Linked DNA regions of Callithrix jacchus. The protein of the gene in region 1 interacts with the protein of each later gene in a pairwise test. Links are inferred from orthologs where the notes say so. Each region holds a gene or a part of one and is shown on either strand. Other genes may lie near its edges.

Region 1 (9,430 bases):
CTATTTACCGGGTGGGCAGCAAGAGGTTCCCTTGACCCAAGTCCCAGAGCAGCCAGGGGCCGAGGCCAAGACAGGAGAACTGGTGGCAATCCCTTCTCCCGGCTTTCCCAGGGCTGGTCCAGCTTGGGTGAGGCAGTTCCAGCTGCTCCGAGGCTCAGCTACGGGGGAGTCAATGTTCTCCATGAGTATACTGGCCAGGCGCGGCGGCTCACGGCTGTAACCCCAGCACTTTGGGAGGCCAAGGCGGGAGGATTGCTTGAGCCCAGGAGTTTGAGACCTGGTTATCATGGTGAAACCCCATTTCTACCAAAAAAAAAAAAAAATATATATATATATATATATATACACACACACACACACACACACACACACACACACACACAAAAGGTATGTGGCTATCATGGTGCACGCCCACCATTCCAGCTCAGGAGGCTGAGCCTGAGGTGGGAAGATCGCTTCAGCTCAGGGAAGTTGAGGCCGCAGTGAGCTGTGATCGCACCGCTGCACTCCAGCCTGGGCAACAGAGCGAGACCCTGTCTCAAAGGAAAAAACAAAAAGAAGTATACCTGTGTGGGCACTGGGGCCTCCTCTTTCTCTAAGGGAAAAGAACGTCATTTAGGTCCTCAGGTCTCCGGTGCCGAAGCCGGCTCTGACACTTAGTCGCTATTTTAAAAAATAAATAATTAATTAATTTTATTTAGTTATTTTTTGAGACGAAGTTTCGCTCTTGTTACCCAGGCTGGAGTGCAATGGCGCGATCTCGGCTCACCGCAACCTCCGCCTCCTGGGTTCAGGCAATTCTCCTGCCTCAGCCTCCCGAGTAGCCGGGATCACAGGCACGCGCCACCATGCCCAGCTAATTTTTGTATTTTTAGTAGAGACGGGGTTTCACCATGTTGATCAGGATGGTCTCGATCTCTTGACCCCTCGTGGTCCACCCGCCCCGGCCTCCCAAAGTGCTGGGATTACAGTTACAGGCTTGAGCCACCGCGCCCGGCCAAGAATTAATTTTTTTAGAGAGATAGGGTCTTGCTATGTTGCCCAGGTTGGCCTTGTATTCCTGGCTTCAAGAAATTCTCCCACCTCAGCCTCCCCACCTTCTAGCTTAGGGACCCCTTAGCCTTCTCAGGGCCCCTTGAGCAGCTATCTAAACATCAAGCACCTGGGTCATGCTGTGTGACCTGAAGTCTCCAGTTTGCCCTCTCTGTGCTTGGCATCAAAGCAGCGTAGGCCAGATGCAGAAGTGTGACCCACCTAGGAGCTCTTTTTTTGAGACAGGGTCTCAATCTGTCCCCCAGGCTGGAGTGCAGTGGCACAGTCTCGGCTCACTGCAACCTCCGTCTCCTGCGTTCCAGATCCTCCTACCCCAGCCTCCTAAGTGGCTGGGATTACAGGAGCGCATCACCACGCCCGGCTGGATTTGGTATTTTTAGTAGACGTGGGGTTTCACCATGTTGGCCAGGCTGGTCTCCAACTCCTGACCTCATGATCCTCCTGCTTCAGCCTCCCAAAGTGCCGGGATTACAGGCATGTCACTGCGCCCTTTAATTTGCCTTTTTAAATTTTTTTGAGAGAGGTTCTTGCTGTCACCCAGGCCGGAGCACAGAGGTGCTATCTTAGCTCACTGCAACCTCCCGAGTTAAAGCAATGCTTGTGCCTCAGGCTCTGGCGCCAGCACACCTGACTACTTTTTTATTTTCACTAGAGACGTGGTTTCGCCATGTTGGCCAGGCTGGTCTTGAACTCCTGGCCTCAAGTGATCCACCTGCCTTGGCCTCCCAAAGCGCTGGGATTACAGGTGTGAGCCCCCGTGCCCGGCCTCACCAGGGAACTCTCGATGTTCTAGGAGGGTGTCTCACGCTGGATGGGCCCCCCCACCCCGGGGCAGCCCACGACACAGAGGCAGGAACACAGCACGGAACCTTCTCATATCTTTATTTGAAAGGCACAGCTAAGCCCACCCTTGATACAGCACTTCCACTTCTCTGCAGAGACCAAACGACAGGACACATCATAAGCTGACTATATACAGACACAGGTGCGGGTGTTGCTTTTTTTAAAAACATTTTTGTCTTTTTTTTTGTTGTAATATCCCCTTCTTAAGAGACAAGCTAGTATACCGGAAAAAGAAACATAAGAAAATAAAAACCAAGACAACTTCAGTACCCTCATCTTTATTTGGGAAGGGGAGGGGGAGTCCTGGGTCGCTCGCCCTCACCCTGCTCCTCCCAGCTCAAGCTCAGCTTGCTCCCCTCCCCGTGCCCCCTCTTTTGTGGGTGACGGGAGAGGACCAGGTGGGCATAGAGGCATCTGGAACTAGCAGAGGTGGTGGGGGGGGGGCAGGAGGTGGAGGTGGGAGCCTATCTGGGGCCCGGGGTTGGGGGAGACTCGGGGTGCCCAGGACGGGAAGGGGGCGGCTAGCATTGCGTGCATGCAGTACCAGGGTGAGCGCGCTGTGGCGTGTGCCCCGAGGGGCCCGGGCAGACCGTCAGTGACACGTGTTCAAAATGGGGGAAGTGACAGCGGTGCCGGACTTGGCCAGCAAGTGCTCCCTTGGGACCTGGGCTCCCATCTGACCCTCCAGGCCTTAGCTTGCCTCGCGTGTCGGGGCAGGTACCCACCTATCCGGGCTGCAGGGGAGGAGGAGGGAGGCCGGGACCGGGGTAGGAAGAAAGCTAGGGCTGGCCTGCAAGCCGAGCTGGGGCGCCACCACAAATACTCCGGGAGTCTCGCCAATCCCCAGCTCTGCCGTGTCTGTGCTACACATTCCCTTCTCTCGGTGTCTGTCTCCCCTCTGTCCCCCCTCCCACCCTCCCCGTCCCGGCCCCCTGCTAATCCGACTTCTCGCCGTCGTCCTCCTGGTGGGTGTCACCGTCGTGCCCGTTCTTGTCTTCCTTGGAGAGGTGGGCCTGGGAGCCCAGCGCCGACAGTGAGAGGAGGCCGGTGCCTGCGCTGACCGCCGGCAGCGAGGGCGGCTGCAGCCCCACTGGGAGTGGGGTGAGGGGCAGGGCCAGGGCCTGCAGCTGGGACAGCTGGTGGGCTTGGAGCTGCTGCTGCAGGGCGTGGGGGGGGAGCGTTAGCTGCCTGGGGCCCACCTGTGCCCCGCCCCCCGCCCAGGTCCCATACGTACTCGGATGATGGAGTTCAGCTCAGGGGCGGTGACCTGCTTAGCCCTCTCGATGGCTCCCAAGACCTGCTGCTGGTGCTGGAAGAGGGGGAGGGGGAGGCAGTGATTCCTCTGATCCTGGTGGAGGGGGGGGCTGAGGCCGGGAAAAGCCCCACTACCAAGCGGGTGGTCATGTCCACTCCTCCCAGTGGTTGTCAGCCCCATCAGAAAGCGCCCTCCCTCTCCAGCTGCTTCCTTCACCAAGCCTGATCTTCAGCTGGCCAACAGAGGCGAACGGAAAAGTCCAGAAAACCATGAAAAGTGTGTGTGCGAAGTCGTCAGGAAACGGCCTGTGAGCGAGCCCGGGAGAAACCCTGGATGCCGACCACTCTCACGTGCAGAGACGGGAAAGATGAGAATCTCGGTGCAGTACGCAACCTGCCCAACTGTACAGGGACGTCGGTCCTAAGAGCTCCGACACTGCCCTGACGTCGGCCAAGTTGAGCCCTTCTCCTTCCATGGCTGGGGAAGGCCCAGTGAATTCTGGCGGAGGCCAGCCGGGGAATGGGCCCAGGTTCTGGGCAATGCCCTCCCCAGCTCTTCCCAAACAGCTGACTCTCTGCGGCCAGCAGATGCTACTAGAATCTACCAGTCTCCCTTTTCGCCTTGGCTACCAGGAAGCATCTGTTCTGAAGGGCTCCAAATGCCCTTTTCTCTAAGGCTTTCTGTCTTTTTTCTTTTTTTGAGATGGAGTCTCACCCTTTCGCCCAGGCTGGAGCGCAGTGGTGCGATCTCAGCTCACGGCAACCTCCACCTCCCAGGGTTCAAACGATTCTCCTGCCTCAGCCTCCCAAGTAGCTGGGATTACAGGCACACGCCACCACGCCCAGCTAATTTTTCGTATCTTTAGTAGAGACGCGGTTTCACCTTGTTGGCGATGGTCTCGAACTCCTGACCTTGAATTCCTGACCTCATGATCTGCCCACTTTGGCCTCCCAAAGTGCCGGGATTACAGGCGTGAGCCACCGTGCCTGTCCCTCTCGAGGGCTTTCATTGGGTCCTTCTAGACTTGTCCCTGGGCAAAGCAGGGCACCCAAAAGATCCGGAGATACACACGCAGGAATTGAAAAGGATATTACAGGCTTTTGACAGTAAACCCAGCAGGGAACAGGAGACGGGCCTTACGTGGCCCTGGGGAGGGGCGCCTCACATCCTGAGCCTCAGAACCCAAGAAAAGAGAAGAGGAGGCCGGGCGCGGTGGTTCACGCCTGTAACCCCAGCACTTTGGGAGGCCGAGGCGGGTGGATCACAAGGTCAAGAGATCGAGACCATCCCGGTCAACATGGTGAAACCCCGTCTCTACTAAAAAAAATACAAAAATTAGACCGGGCGTGGTGGCGTGTGCCTGTAACCCAGCACTTTGGGAGGCCGAGGCAGGAGAATCACGAGATCAGGAGTTCGAGACCAGTCTGGCCAACATGGTGAAACTCCATCTCTACTTTAAAAAAAAAAAAGGAGCTGGCGTCAGGTTCCTCTGGGTGTGTGTGTGCAAGTGTTAATGTGTGCGCGGGATCACGTGTGCCCACGTGTAGCTGCACCTGTGCCTGTGTCTGTACTGTCTGCGTGTGTGTCTCTCCCGTGTGCTGACGCCCATCTGCGTGGCTGTGTCCCTGTGTGGCTGCCCGTGCCCCCCCCCCCCGCCATCACACCCACAGGTCCTCTGTCCTCTGCCGCCCGCAGGGCCTGGAGGATGTCTGAAGAAGGGAAAGCAGGAAGATACAAGGAAAACCTTCCCGGGGCAGTTCCCGTCGACATTCCTACCTATGTCATGACGCACTCCAGCTGGGAATTCCAGAGCAGGGTGAGGCCCGCCCTCCACACCCCTTCCCTGGCCTGGGGATTTTTCTGCACAGGCTGGCTCTGGTGTCCAGAGCCGGGAGGCCTGTGCCCTGGGGTGCCCAGCGCACCACCTGAGATGGCTGCAGGGGGGCAGGGGCTGGGCACGTGCAGGCCCCCACTCCGGCACCGCCTCCCGGGGCCCTGGCTCTTACCTCTTGGGAGAGGTAAGGCAGGACCTGGGCACAAATCCCATTCAGCCTCTTCACGATCTCCGCCTGGAACACACAGAGGAAGCCGGCTCCAGTCCTGGGCGGGTGGTGGGGAGAGGCCAGCCCGACGAGGCCCACACGAGGGCCCGGCCCGGCCCTGCCACGTGGGGCTTCTCTCTGAGAGGAGCTGGGTCTGGCCCTCGTGTGGGCCAGAGGGTGGGATGAGCAAAGCCATGTTGGGGTCGAGGGCAGCCGGTGGCAAAGGTGGGCCTCGAGGCTGGCGGTCCCTACAGCTTAGGGTGCAGCGAGGTGCAGGAGGCCACACTACACTGGGGCTCGGTGACTCTGAGAGGACCAGACCCTGGCAGGTAGTAAGCACTTGTGGGAATGTAGGGAGGGCTGTGCCCCTCCCCGCCTGGAAGAAAAAACTTCCAGGGAGGCCTGAAAAAGAAACGGGGTTGGGAGCTTGGGAAGGGCTTGGGAGGTAACTGGATAACAGGGCTGGCTTTGTGCCCAGTGAGGGCCTGCTGCTACCTGCCTGGGGGTGCCTAAGTCGGGGCTTGGGGCTCGAGGTTGGGGGGAGGGAGGAGGGGGGAGGGAGGAGGGAAAGGGGAGAGGAGGAGGGAAGAGAGGAGGAGGACGAGGGGAGGAGGAGGGGGAGGGAGTGTAGGGGGAGGGGGAGGAGGAGAGGGAGGGGGAAGGGGGAGGCGGAGGTGGGGGAGGGAAGAAGAGGAGGAAGGGGAGGAGGGCGAGGAGGGGGAAGGAGGGGATGAGGGGGAAGGAGGGGATGAGGGGGAGGGGGAGGAGGGGGAAGGAGGGGATGAGGGGGAGGGGGAGGAGAAGGAAGGAGGGGATGAGGGGGAGGGGGGGAGGAGGAGGGGGGAGGGGGAGGAAGGGATGAGGGGGAGGAGGGGGGGAGGGGAGGGGGAGGAGGAGGAGCAGGGGAGGGGGAGGGGGAGGAGGGGGAGGGGAGGAGGAGGAGGGCGTACCTGTTTGTGCATCTCTATGTTCAAGCCGTAGGACATCTCGTAGTACTATTTGGGGGAGAGAGAGAGGGAGCAGGAGATGGGGGTGGGGAAGGATGGGGGGGTGAGGAGACAAAGAGACAGGGGAGTGACAGAGACAGACCAAGTGGGGGAGACAGCAAGAGACAGCTGAGAGCAGGAAGAAAGGGAGAGGCAGGTGGGAGGGAGGGAGTGCAGGAGAGAGAGACACCCACACCCAGCATGGCAGCCAGCCTGCCCGGGAGAGGGGGCTGGGGGCCCGCTAGGGCTGCGGATGGAGACTGGGGGGCCCTCTAGGTCCCTCGCCCCGGCCTGGCTCCTCCCCCACTCCGCGTGCATGGAGAGAACACGCATTCCAGGGCTCCTAATCTTGTATCTTTCTATGTCTTGACTGCGGGTGGGCCCCAACTCCGGGATGTTTGCCTGCCTGGGTATAAACAGTGAGGGCAAACGAGCCTACTGGCTCTGGCTCTGGGGCCAGCAGCTCCCCTCATCCCAAGCCCCAGATCTGACCCTGCCCCTCCCTTGCTCTAAACCCTCCCGTGGCTCCCCGTCACCCGTCGGGAGAAACCCAAGCTCATTCCCAGGCCTTCACGCGGTTTCTCCTTCTCTGCCTGGTAAACTCCTACTCATCCTGCAAGAGCCCAGCTGCGTGCCCCACTTCTCCATATAGTCTTCCTCATCCAGGTCCTAGGTCCCTCTCTCTGACCCTGGCTCCATCCCTTCTGACTGCCAGGGTCAGAGTCTGGCTCTGCCTCCCCCAACAGTCTGGGAGATCTGGGTCCTGGGCTGAGACCCTAGTATCGCTGCTCGAGGGTCAGGCCAGGGTGGGTCAGGGAGGGGATTTCTGATGCAGAAATTGCCACCTGGCAGTTACAACACAAGGCAAAGGATTCTAGCAGCAGTAATGCAGTGTCACACCTCGATCCCCCCGCCCCCTGAAATGAGTAGGGCTCAGACCCCCTCCCACAGGCTTCCTCTCTCAGCTTGGCCCAAAGGGGTTAAGTGGGGGGCCCTTGGCAGTGGGGAGGGCCTCGGCTGCTCCCCCACGTCAGTTCCTGGCTGTTGGCTTTCACAGCCTCCTCCTCCTCCTCCTCCTCCTCCCTCCTCCGCTGCCAAGGACAGCCGGGGGACCTGGCAGGCCTGGTCTGCAACCCGGCGGCTTGGCAACTCAGCCACCTCCTCGGCCAGCTGCCAGGCTAGTGAGGCAGGCTCAGCCCAGCAGGGGCCGGCTGAGTGGAGAACAGGCCCTGAGCCCGCACGATTCCCAGGGGAGGTGGCCCGGGTTTAGGTAGCAGCTGGCCGTGGCGGGGCGGTGGGGTGTGGGAGGCCCTGTCCCCGCCCCGAGCACCGGACCTGGGGGTGGAGTGACTTTACCATCACGTAGTGACGCTGCATCTCCGACTTCTCGCTGGCCAACTTGTCACATTCCAGCTTCAGGCTGAGGAGGCACAGGGGGAGACCGGGTGGTTGGTGGCAGATGGGCGGGACCCCCCACCCTCTGTTATCCAGGGGAGGAAACTGAGGCTCCAAGATGCCTCGACCCCCCCGAAAGGGCGCAATCAGCCCGTTCTCAGAGGGTCAGACAACAACTCTTAATTTTTTAATTGAGATGGGGGTCTCCCTATGTCGCCCAGACTGGTCTCAAAAACTCCTGGGCTCGAGTGATCCTCCTGCCTCGGCCTCCCGAAGTGCTTGGGATTACAGATGGGAGCCACCTGCTGTGCCTGGCCGAGGGAGCCAGGAGCTTTGGTGGGGCTGAGGGCATTGAGTTGAGGGGAAGGGAAGTGGGTAAGTTGAGCTCCCTGTGATTCGGGGGCGAGGGGAGAGCGCCAGGGCCGCTGACGGTAAGGAGGGGGTGATGAAACCCCCCTTGAAGATCTGGTGGAGGAGAAAGAACGGACATTATAGAAACACCAGAAGTCGGAGGGCGCTCGGCATCGCGGCCTCAGAGACTTTCACAAGCCTTTACCTCTCACGATCCGGATGTTCCCGCAGCGTCATTGTCACGCTCCTTTTATAGATGACACAGTGGACACCCAGAGAGGGCGAGCAATCGGCTCAAGGTCACACAGCCAAGAAGCAGCCCAAGCTTTCAACCACAGGGGAAAATTTTCCAGACCCAAATAGAAATCTTAAAGAGGCTGAGAGGGTCCAGGGCTGCAAGGCAGCTCCCAGCTGGCCTTCCCAAGGGGACCCTAGCTTCGTGGGGGCCTGAGCTTCCTGGGGAGACCCCTCAGCTCCCTCTATTCCTTCCTGTCTTTTTTTCTTTTTGAGACAGCATCTCGCTCTGTCGCCAGCCTGGGATGCAGTGGCGCGATCTCGGCTCACTGCAGCCTCCGTCTCCCGGGTTCAAGCGATTCTCCTGCCTCAGCCTCCCGAGGAGCTGGGATTACAGGCGCTCGCCACGACGCTCGGCTAATTTTTGTGTTTTTAGTAGAGACGGGGTTTCTCCATGTTGGCCAGGCTGGTCTCGATCTCTTGACCTCATGATCCACCCACCTCGGCCTCCCAAAGTGCTGGGATTACGCGCGTGAGCCACCCCGCCCGGCAGCCTTTTTTATTTAGCTGTGACAAAACACACCATTTCTCCAACTCCACCTGGGCCGTCCAGGTGGCTTATGCCACAGTTTCCTTCTTACAGGCCCTCCCGGGAGGGATGAGCTTCCAGGCGTTTCTCAAAGCCCCCATGAGGGTGTCGTCGCCGGAGGGAGAGGGTAGGAAGGCCTCCCAGTCCAGGAAAAGAACTCGTGATGCAGTGGGGGAGGTGGACAAGCCCGTGTCCTTTACCCATTTAAATCCAACCCAGCACAGCGGCCCTGCGGACCTGGCTCTGGCTGACCTGCTCCGACCAGCCCCGGCCCCTCCCGGACTGGGTTGAGAGCTTGGCCCTGCGTCTTCCCTGCTGTGTGACTCCAGGCAGACTCCGCTACTTCTCTGGGCTTCATTTCCTCCTCTGTGAGGTGCCACCCACCTCGCAGGGTGCAGTGGGGAAGACTCAATGAACTCAGACAAGAAAAGCTCTGGAACAGTACCCGGCATACAGCAAGCACCCCATAAATGCATGGGGATTTTTTTTTAAAGCCAGTCAAATTTAGCAGTGGGGGCTTGTATACCAACTTTAGCGATACTAATGTTAGTAAGTTCTGATAACCCAGTAGCAGCCCATGCCCATGGATCTTATGACCCCCAGGGAGCCTGGCACTGTGCTCTACCGGAGAAGAGGGTGCCAAGTTGGGGATGTTTGGCCTCCACCAGCTTTCCTCTAGTGC
Region 2 (9,985 bases), on another chromosome or scaffold:
ACAGGCACCTGCCACCACACCCAGTGAATTTTTGTATTTTTAGTGGAGACAAGGGTTTTTGCCATGTTGGTCAGACTGGTCTTGAACGCTTGACCTCAGGTGATCCACCCACCTTGGCCTCCCAAAGTTCTGGGATTACAGGCATGAGCCATGGCACCTGGTCCCAACTATGGCAGTATTTTTCCACTGAATCTCTCTAACCCCTAAATGTGACCATTTCTTGATCCCCTGGAAATTCCAATCCATTGACCCCCTAACACCTTTTCTTTTCACCTCAACACTATCATTCACGTCCTCTCTTCTCCCCTTGCCTGGCTTAGATGCCATGGTCGTTCACTATCATCATTCTCTTGCATATACCCCTAACCCCCTTGTTGTTCTCTCTTCCTTCATAGTTACCTGGCAACTCCAAACTTTGCTTACATCTAACCCTCTGCCTAGTTTTATCTGTACCCAAGCAAGTAAATGAAGCCAGCAAGAACATACCGCTACACCTACTGGCCTCGCTTTATATTCATGAGCTCTGACCTCAAATGGGCTCTCCCTGCTATCCAAAAATCCAACTATATTTTCCAAGTCTATTGACTTTCTCACTGTTCTAGATGACTTTCATACTTTCTCCTCTCTCCCCAAACTTCCTCCACACTCCTCACTCTTAGCAGATGACCTTGCTTTGTATTTCATGAATAAAATAAATTCTTCCTTCCACATTTACCAGCATCTCTGCCATACTTTCCGAGTAGCTAAGACAAGAGGCATGTACCATCAAACCCAGCTAATACTTTGATTTTTAGTAAAGGTGAGATCTCCCTATGTTGCCCAGGGAGTTGGTCTCCAACTCCTGGGCTCAAGTGATACTCCTACCTTGGCCTTGCAAAGTGCTGGGTTTATAGGCGCAAGCTACCATGCTCAGCTCTTAACATTTGAATCCATGAGGAAGACTGCCTGAAAAAGTAAATTGCAGATGGGGAGGGAGGGGGAAGATTGCTGGGGATTAAGAGTGGCATTTGGGCACCTTCAGTTTGGTGTTCTCTCCTGTTACCAGGGGTGAACTCTTTCTTCTATTTAACCCCAAATTTCCATTTGTGCATTGCGTCACACACCTGCTCATCTATCTACTCAAGAACATTGCTCCAGCACGTAACCCATTTCTCTCCTGTATCATCCTTCTTTCCTTTCCATTTGGTTCATGCCTGGGAGCATACAAACACGTGTACCTTCTACTTTAAAAAAAAAAAAAACTGCTTTGACTATATGGTTCCTTCCATGTTCTATTCCATTTCTTTGTCTTCATCTGCCATTTTTAGTCTTTCTGGGGTCACCCCAAACACAGGCTTTGGTCATCCCACCACTAAAACTCTTCTTACCAAGTTCACCACTGACCTCTCTGTGGCCAAGTCCATTGCTCAGTTTTCAGTCCTAATTTTATACATTGTAGCAGCATTTGACAGTAAATCGTTCTTTCTTGCAACATTCTTTTCATTTGGCTTCTGGAACATGTTCTCTCTTGGTTTATCTATCTCAGAAATCAGACCTTCTCAATTTCTTTTTTTTTTTTTATTCTTTATCTTCTTAACCTCTGTACTTTGGAGCACGCCAGGACTCAGACTTCAGACATCCCCATTCTGCCTGCACACCATCTATATGCTAAAGACCTCCAGATATACCCCACCATCCCAGACTCACCTAACCAACTGCCTTCGTGACAACTTGACAACTCCAAACTGAAGGAGTCCAAAATGCTACTCTTAATCCCCAGCAATCTTCCCCTTTACTCCCCATCCACAATTTACTTTTTCAGGAAGTCTTCCCCGTGGATTCAAAGGGTAATCTCAGCTGAGCATGGTAGCTGATGCCTGTTAACCCAGAACTTTGGGAGGCGAAGGTGGGAGGATCACTTGAGCTGAGTGTGGTAGTGCATGCCTGCAGTCCCAGCTGCTCAGGGGGCTGAGGCAGGAGGATCACTTGAGCAGGGGAGGTCAAGGCTGCAGGCAGCCATGATCATGCCACTGCATTGCAGCCAGGGCAACAGAGAGACCCTTCCTCAAAAAAAAAATTAAAAATGTCATCAGCAAGCACCCTCACAGATACACCCAGGATAATGTTTTACCAAATAAAATTTGACACGTCAAATTAACCATCACAGCTTCCTAACTCGTTGGCCTGTTTTAATCTGTCCTTTAATCTATCCTCAACAAAATGGTGGACTAAAAAAAACAATGAGCTACATCATTTAGCTTCTCTGCTAAACATTCTTCAGTCTTCCTATCTCAATTAATGTAAAAAAAAATTTCTGAGATAGAGTCTCGCTCTGTCACCAGGCTGGAGTGCAGTGGTGCATCCTCAGCTCACTGCAACCTCTGCCTCCCAGGTTCAAGTGATTCTCCTGCCTCAGCCTCCTGAGTAGATGGGAATACAGGCGTGCACCACTACACCCAGCTAATGTTTGTATTTTTAGTAGAGATGGGGTTTCAGTATGTTGGCCAGGCTGGTCTCAAACTCCTGTCCTTGTGATCTGCCCACCTCAGTATCCCAAAGTGCTGGGATTATAGGCATGAGCCACTGTGCCCAGCCTTCAATGTAAAATTTAAAGACTATCATGACCACCAATGCCATACATGCTTTATTCCCCACTCCTAGCCCCACCGCCATCACTCTTACTGAACTCTGTTTTGCCCACCCTGATATTTCTCCCAGAAGCCAAGCATGCTCCTGCCTTGGGGCCTTTACATCCACTGATCCCTAAGCTTGAAATGATCTTAATCCCAATAGCTGCATTGTTTTCTCCCTCAGTGATTCTCTTATCTTATAGGGCTTTGCAATATACATATTTTAAAAAATATAACACACCTCATCCCTCTTATCTTACTTTCTTTCATAATAAACTGTATTTTTTTTCCTTTTTCTTTTCTTTTTTTTTTTTTTTTTTGAGATGGAGAGTCTTGCTCTGTCACCCAGGCTGGAGTGCAGTAGTGTGATCTTGGCTCACTGCAACCTCTGCCTCCTGGGTTCAAGCAATTCTCTGCCTCAGCCTTTTGAGTAGCTGGGATTACAGGCATCCACTACCACGCTCAGGTAATTTTTTTATATTTTCAGTAGAGATGGGTTTCACCATGTTGGCCAGGCTGGTCTTGTACTCCTGACCTCGTGATCCACTCGCCTCGGCCTCTCAAAGTGCTGGGATTACAGGCATGAGCCACCTCGCCCAGCAAATAAACTGCATCTTTTAGAACAGTTTTAGACTTACAGAAAAATTGCAAAGGTAGTACAGAATTGCCATAAATTCTATTTCAGATTTTCCATGATTAGCATCTTACATTACATTCCTCAAGACTAATCAACCTTGATTCTTATTATTAATGAAAGTCCTTACTTTACTTAGATTTCCTTAGCTTTTCCCCAAGTCCTTTTTCTGTCGCAGGATCTCATCCAGGATACCACATTACATTTAGTTTTCACATCCTCCTTAGCTTCTTTTAGGCTGTGGCAGTTTTTCAGACTTTCCTTATTTTTATTTTTAATTTTTGTAGAGACAGGGTCTTGCTATGTTGGCCAGACCAGGTCTTGAACTCCTGGCCTTAAGCAATCCTCTCGCTTCAGCTTCCCACAGTGCTGGGATTACAGGTGTGAACCACCACGTCTGGACTGTACTTTTCTTACTTTTGATAACCTGACAACTTCGAGGAATATGGTCAGGTATTTTGTAGGATGTCCCACTATTGAAATTAGTTTGGTATTTTTCTCATTATGAGACAGTGGTTATGGGTTTTGGGGAGGAAGACCACAGAGGTAATGGGCCATATTCATCACATTGTATTAACTACATGTCATCAATATAATTCATGATTGTTGACGTTTACTTAGAACATCTGGCTGGCGTAGTGTCTGTCAGCTTTCTCCATTGTAAAGCTACTCTTTTCCCCTTTCCATACTGTACTATTTTGGAGGAAGTCACTGTGCACTGCCTACGGTAGATGATCTACATAAATTATTTGGAATTATTCTGTGTAGGAGATTTGTCTCCTCTCTGCCTTTTATTTATTTATTCAATTATTTATTTATATGAGTGTAGACTCATGGATATTTTTTACTTTGGCTTTTAATCCAATAAGACTTTGTTTAGTTTACTTCGTTGCTCAAATGGTTCCATCTTTGGCAACTGGGAGCTCTTTCAGGTAGTTCTGTGTTTAAACATTCTCCCATCAAGGCAGGATTCGTTTTTTATTTTTATTTTTCCTTCTCATTCTTTTGCCCAGGCTGAAGTGCAGTGGCAGGATCTAGGCTCACTGCATGCTTGACCTCCTGGGCTCAAGTGATCCTCCCACCTTAGCGTCGCGAGTAGCTGGGACCACAGAGGCGCGCCACCATGCTCAGCTAATTTTTGTATTTTTTGTAGAGATGGGCTTTCACCATATTGTTCAGACTGGTCTCAAACTCCTGGGCTCAAGCGATCCTCCCACCTCAGCCTCCCAAAGTGCTAGGTTATGGGCGCGAGTCACCGCGCCTGGCCCGATTTCCCTTTTTGAATCTCACTTACTTTTCAGCCTCACCTTTGTTTTTCAAGGTGCTTACCGCCACCTGGCACAATCCACACTTTGTTTATGTCTCCCCATTAAAGTGCCAGGACCTGGAGGGGGGGTCTTGGCAGTATTTTTGAGAGCGGTGGTACCCTGGGCACACAAGGGGACGCTCAGCTAATATCCAGGGAATGATGAGCCCGTAGGGTCCTGAGGCCGACTGGAGAGGGGTTGGCCGCCGGGTTCTGGGAAGGCGGTGGTCGGCCGCTGTGTGACCGCAGGCTCCTTGCCCGCCTCCTGGAAGGTCCAGGGGGTGCAGGACCTGCTGCAGCCTCGGCAGCCACACCCACGCTCAGAGACCGCTTCCACCGTCCTCGCCGCGGAAACGCACCGGACGGCAAATGTCATCAGCGCAGCGGGGATTCCCGGGGAAAGTCCACCGCGCTCCCTGCCCTAGGAACCGGAGGATGAGCAGAGGAAGTGCCTCTGGCTGCAAACCTCCCACTCCCCGCGAGGGTCCGCTCCGCCCGCGGGAACTCCCCGAGACGTACGGGAGGTGCTGGAGCGCGTCCCCGGCTCCGGGCGGTCCCGAGCGCAGGGACTCCGGGCGGGGCGGGAACCTGCGCTCCGCGAGCCGCCGCGCCCCGGCGCTGTCATCCCGGGGCGGGGCCTTGTCCCCAGCTGTGGTCGCTTCCTAAGCGGCTAGGGCAGAGCCGGCGGCGCCCAGATGCGGCCGCGGCGGGGCGGAGCTCGGGCCGCAGTGAAGGAGCCCAGCCTCTGCCGCAGGGGACGCGGGAGGCGCCGGGAGCCGAGCCGCCGGGAGTCGCGCAACAGGTTTCCTTCCCCAACGCGGCGCCCACGGGGGACGAGCGCCCGGCCGGGATAGGGGCTTCTCGGTTCGAACTCTCGCTCCGGGTACTGGTTTGTTTTTCTGTCCCTGAGCTCCCCATTTCTCTACCTATTCCCGGTGCGCGGAGAGTGCGGGGAGGTGGGCGGGCCGGGGCGGGGACACTGTCTGGGCTCCGGATCCGCGGCGGTGCCTTAGTGGGTTTTGGTGCAGGGCCTCACGCCGCCTCTGGGCACCTTCGAGAACACAGCACTGGGTTTCTCATATAAAGCGGAATGATATTTTTTGAATTACTTTTAATTTCAGAGGCCAAGGGACTGAGAATTTAGCGCTTCATAGGAATTATTTTAGGGATACCCGTTGGTAGGCTGCCTTTATAAAGCGTCCACCTAAGACTACCTTTAAGTTGAAAGGCTGAAGTGTTTCTTTGTTATCACCTCTTCATTTCCTATTAGGGTGACTGTGTCAAAAACACCAGAATGGGTACCTCTTGACTTGAACTTGGCACTGTCACCCAGAAGCCGGGAGAGACGGAGAAATTGATAGAGCCTTGGAGCAGTCCCTTCAAAGCCCACATAAGACTTTGTTTTAGAAAAATGGAGAGGAAGGGTAGTGGCAATCCTGCGAGAACCACTCTGTCCAAGAGGGAATTCTGCCTTTTTCTAGACTCCTCTGACACCAGCTGAGCTCTGTATTACTTCCTGTGGTTCTCACGCACTTGTTTCAGCCGTTTCTCAGCAAAGGGAGGAGTTGTTATTTACGGGTATCCAAAAATGAGTCACACGGCTGCTCTCTTAATTGTGAGACTTTGTTAATGAACTTTTTGAAAAGCGAGGCTTGCTCTGTCTGTATTTAAAATGAGGCTCTAGATGTGAAATGCCTGCCCTGCTAACCTGGGGCAGTGGTATGGGTAGTGATGATTTGAGTTTTCAGTTTCCTAAGGCGCCTGATGTTACAACATGCCAGTAAAGGTCACTGGGCTGATCTAAGATAACCATTAAAATCATGTGCTTTGCCACAGAAGCCCAAGGGAAAATTAATTTCAGTATCTAGTGACCATTTTGTCCTCATTTTCACTGCATGGTAGAAATGTATCATTTAATGTGGTGACTGTAACTCTCTAAAATCAAAATATTTCTAACAATTTGTATTTACTAAATTGATGCTAAAACCACACGACGATTTTTGAAGTGGGTAGGTCCCAGCAGGAGCAGAGAAATTTAAAAGTTGAAACTCACAGGTCCCATTGTAGTGGGTAGCAGCGCTTAGGCAAGGTCTGCACAGGCTCTCAACATGATAGAAAAGGGAGCACCATCTCTACTGGAGCTGAGTTGAGCTGAGTTCAGCCCCAAACAACAGTTACCAGGCACCTTCTCTGTGCCAGCCTCTTCTCTGAACCTTGCTTGTGCAACTAGGAATAAAAGGATCCTGCTGACAAGCTGCTAGGGTAAATCTACACCCAGATGGATGTTTCTGTCCCAATATAACTCAGTAAGCTGGGTCCCAGTGTATTTAAAAATTAAACAGCCAGTTACTACCCCTAGATAATTACAGTCACCTTTAGTTCATAGTGTGACTTTTAGGAAATAGTGTGACTAAATAATAGTTTATTTAAATACACTGGAAAATCCATTATATATGTGCTAGGGTACATCTATGCCCAGAGTGAAGTTTCTGTCCCAATATGACTGATGTTTCTGCAGATCTGGGATTTGGAATGGACTGGGTCATGGCTGGAAAAGCGAGGAAGCTTTTGAGTTGACTCATTTACTTGTCTTTGTAGGCAGCCTATTCTTCATTTGATACATGATTTAAAAAATATGAATTAGAAAGGTATGGTTTTTAAAGCATTTGAATGAACCATATTTCATACTATTTAATAACCATGTGAAACTAAACTCAGCTGATTATCACCCCTGGACAATTGCAGTCACCTTTAGTTAACAGCATGACTTTTAGAAAATAGTATGACTAATTAATAGGTTGTTTTGTTTTGTTTTGTTTTGAGAGAGTCTCACTCTGTTGCCCAGGCTGGAGTGTAGTGGCGCAATCTTGGCTTGCTGGAATCTCCACCTCCCGCATTCAAGCAATTCTCGTCCTTCAGCCTCCCAAGTAGCTGGGACTACCAGCTCCCACCACAACAACCGGCTAGTTTTTGTATTTTTAGTAGAGTCAAGGTTTTGTCCTGTTGGCCCAGCTGGTCTCAAACTCCTGACTGCAGGTGAGCTGCTCACCTTGACCTCCCAAAGCGCTGAGATTGCAGGTGTGAGCCACCATGCCCTGCCTAATAGTTTATAAATTGATAACACTATATTGAGGCAAGTTTCTGATCATTGTTTTTGCAGTTCAAATCAATGTTTTTAGCACGTTATAGCCATATGAGCCCAAATGCATAAACATACTGTATCACAGTTTACTGTTGCAATTGAAATCTGCTGAGAGGCTTTTAGACTTGATGCCCAAGTATCAAGGTTTCCAAGTTTCCCCAGTTTGCTAAGATACCCAACTAGTAAAGGTAACAATGCTAAATTGGAGACAAATTGGCCTTAATTTCCAAACTTTCTTCCTCCTTTGAGACCCCTAAGGTTACTTTTTCTATGAGGAAGAAAGAGTGGAGTATATTATTCAGCATTGTACTCCCTGAATTTGGCCCAGGTTTGACTAATGATAGGTGTAAGAAAGTGATGAATATATTGATTTCATCCATAAATTTTATTGATGATTTATTTATTTCATCATTTGTTGATGAAATATGAACTTTCATATAGGAGGATGAATTTTCAGGCAGGTGGAAGGATAGGTGACCCAGCAGAAGGAACAGCACACATAGAGAAGTGAAACAGCACTGGACGTTCGGGAAACTCCAGCCTGTTTAGTGACAGCACAGAGTAAGGGCTGCGGAGACAGGAAGGGCCAGATCACAAAGGCCCATAAGCCATGTGGGACCTGAGGGTTTATAGTACTGAGTACTGAGGCCTTTGAACAAGTGAATGATACTGTCAGGTATGTGTTTGAAAAAACAATAGCAAAACTTAGAATTTTGTAAATCTTAGATTAGAGGAGAGTGACATTGACCTTAGGGAGACACAGTGGAGACTGTTATAACATTGGAGATGGGACATGAAAGAAAGCCTGAATCGGGCAGTGACAGTGCAGACTGGAAGAGAGGGAAGGAACTGGTAGACGTTTAATAGGTGGAACCCAGTTGGGTGTGTATTTAGAAATGGGCAGTGAGGAGGTGGGAGGAGTTAAGATGACGCCCACATTTCTAATTAATGACTAGGAAAAGAATATCCTCCTCAGTGGAAAATAGGTTTGGGCTAAAGGATGGGGAGAAACTCACACCATACCTGGCACATAATCAGTGCTCATTGAGATTTTTCAAAGGAATGCTAGTCATGGCTAAAATGTATCGCGTGCTTATTATGGGCCAGGTACTATCCTATGCTCACTTATTTGCATTAAGCCTTTTACTCCTCAGTACAATACTGTGAGATAGTTACTCAAATTAACTGCTTTGACTGGAGTTCTGCTGCAGTGTTAGTAACTGACAGAGCCAGAAATGGATCCCAAGCACTTGGTTCCAGAGCTTGCATTCTGAAGCACTCTGCTGTGGTGTGTGTCTTGATGAATGAATCAATGAGATTTTGGACATTGTGGTAAACTCAGGTTGAAGTCACTCTCCTGCCTGTAACAATTCTTCCTTATCCAAGAATGGCCTTGATGCATACAATGGGCCCTCAGTGTCCCTACTGTGCTACATGACATCCCACTCCCCACCACCTTCACTCCAAGAAATACCTGATTCGTCTAGGAGGAAACCTGGAATAATCAAACACTTTTTTATCCTGGGAATTTAAACATTTTAATGGAGACTCAGTGTCTGAAGGTTCCAAATGCTTCAATCATTGTGTCTACAGAGCTGCCTTGGTTACCATCCTTCCTAAACACTGAATACCGAGCTTTTCATATTTCTCAGATGCCCCCAATGTTTTGTCGCTAAGATTTTCCATAGAAGCAGAGAGGCTGGGAGGCGTTAATCTACAGAGCAGGATCCAATGGTGGAAGAATCACTAACAAATGCAGACAGGTACATAACAACTCCAGATCTTACATTCCTAACTTGTGATCTGCCTTCCGAATCCTATTTTGTTCTAGTTTACCCTGAAGAGGTGCCTTACTTACTCTAACTTCCAGAATCTTATTAAGTGAGCCTGGCCCTGCTGTGTCTCCTGTCCTCTTGACTTTAGCTTGGCAAAATGATTCAGGTATCTTGCATTCAGAGCTTGCTTTCTATATGGGGCACCTGGGTAGATTTCTTTGGTCTCAACAGTGGCATTTTGACCAACAACCCTGTCCACCGCTCCCCACCCATCCCCCAAAATGATCCCAACTCTTAACTGTTTTCATTGTTTGATGATTCAACCTACCCTGACTTGGATTAATATCCTGATTTTTGTTCAGCAATCAGGGACTAAGAATTGATCTAGGAAGAAACCTGGAATAATCAGACCTTTTCTCCTGGGAATTTACATTTTAATGGAGACATTCAGAGGTTCCTAGAGCTTAAGCCATTGTGTCCACAAAGCTGCCTTCCTCATCTCTTCCTCAAAGATCTCTA

What was found.
Region 2: the proteins of TLE5 (region 1) and STX11 interact in binary tests that used the Homo sapiens proteins (3 or more experiments, as listed by UniProt). The two-hybrid records come from large-scale screens. The link is inferred for Callithrix jacchus from reciprocal best matches to the Homo sapiens genes TLE5 and STX11.

What each region holds. Positions count from the first base shown.
Region 1 is NC_133523.1:2,826,790-2,836,219, forward strand, and holds the end of TLE5 (TLE family member 5), read right to left. Parts: intron 7,600-9,430; coding exon 7,536-7,599; intron 6,189-7,535; coding exon 6,144-6,188; intron 5,221-6,143; coding exon 5,158-5,220; intron 3,206-5,157; coding exon 3,131-3,205; intron 3,054-3,130; coding exon 2,832-3,053; 3' UTR 1,919-2,831; downstream 1-1,918. UniProt on the Homo sapiens protein: Transcriptional corepressor. Acts as a dominant repressor towards other family members. Inhibits NF-kappa-B-regulated gene expression. May be required for the initiation and maintenance of the differentiated state.
Region 2 is NC_133505.1:150,898,392-150,908,376, forward strand, and holds the start of STX11 (syntaxin-11), read left to right. Parts: upstream 1-5,226; 5' UTR 5,227-5,432; intron 5,433-9,985. UniProt on the Homo sapiens protein: SNARE that acts to regulate protein transport between late endosomes and the trans-Golgi network.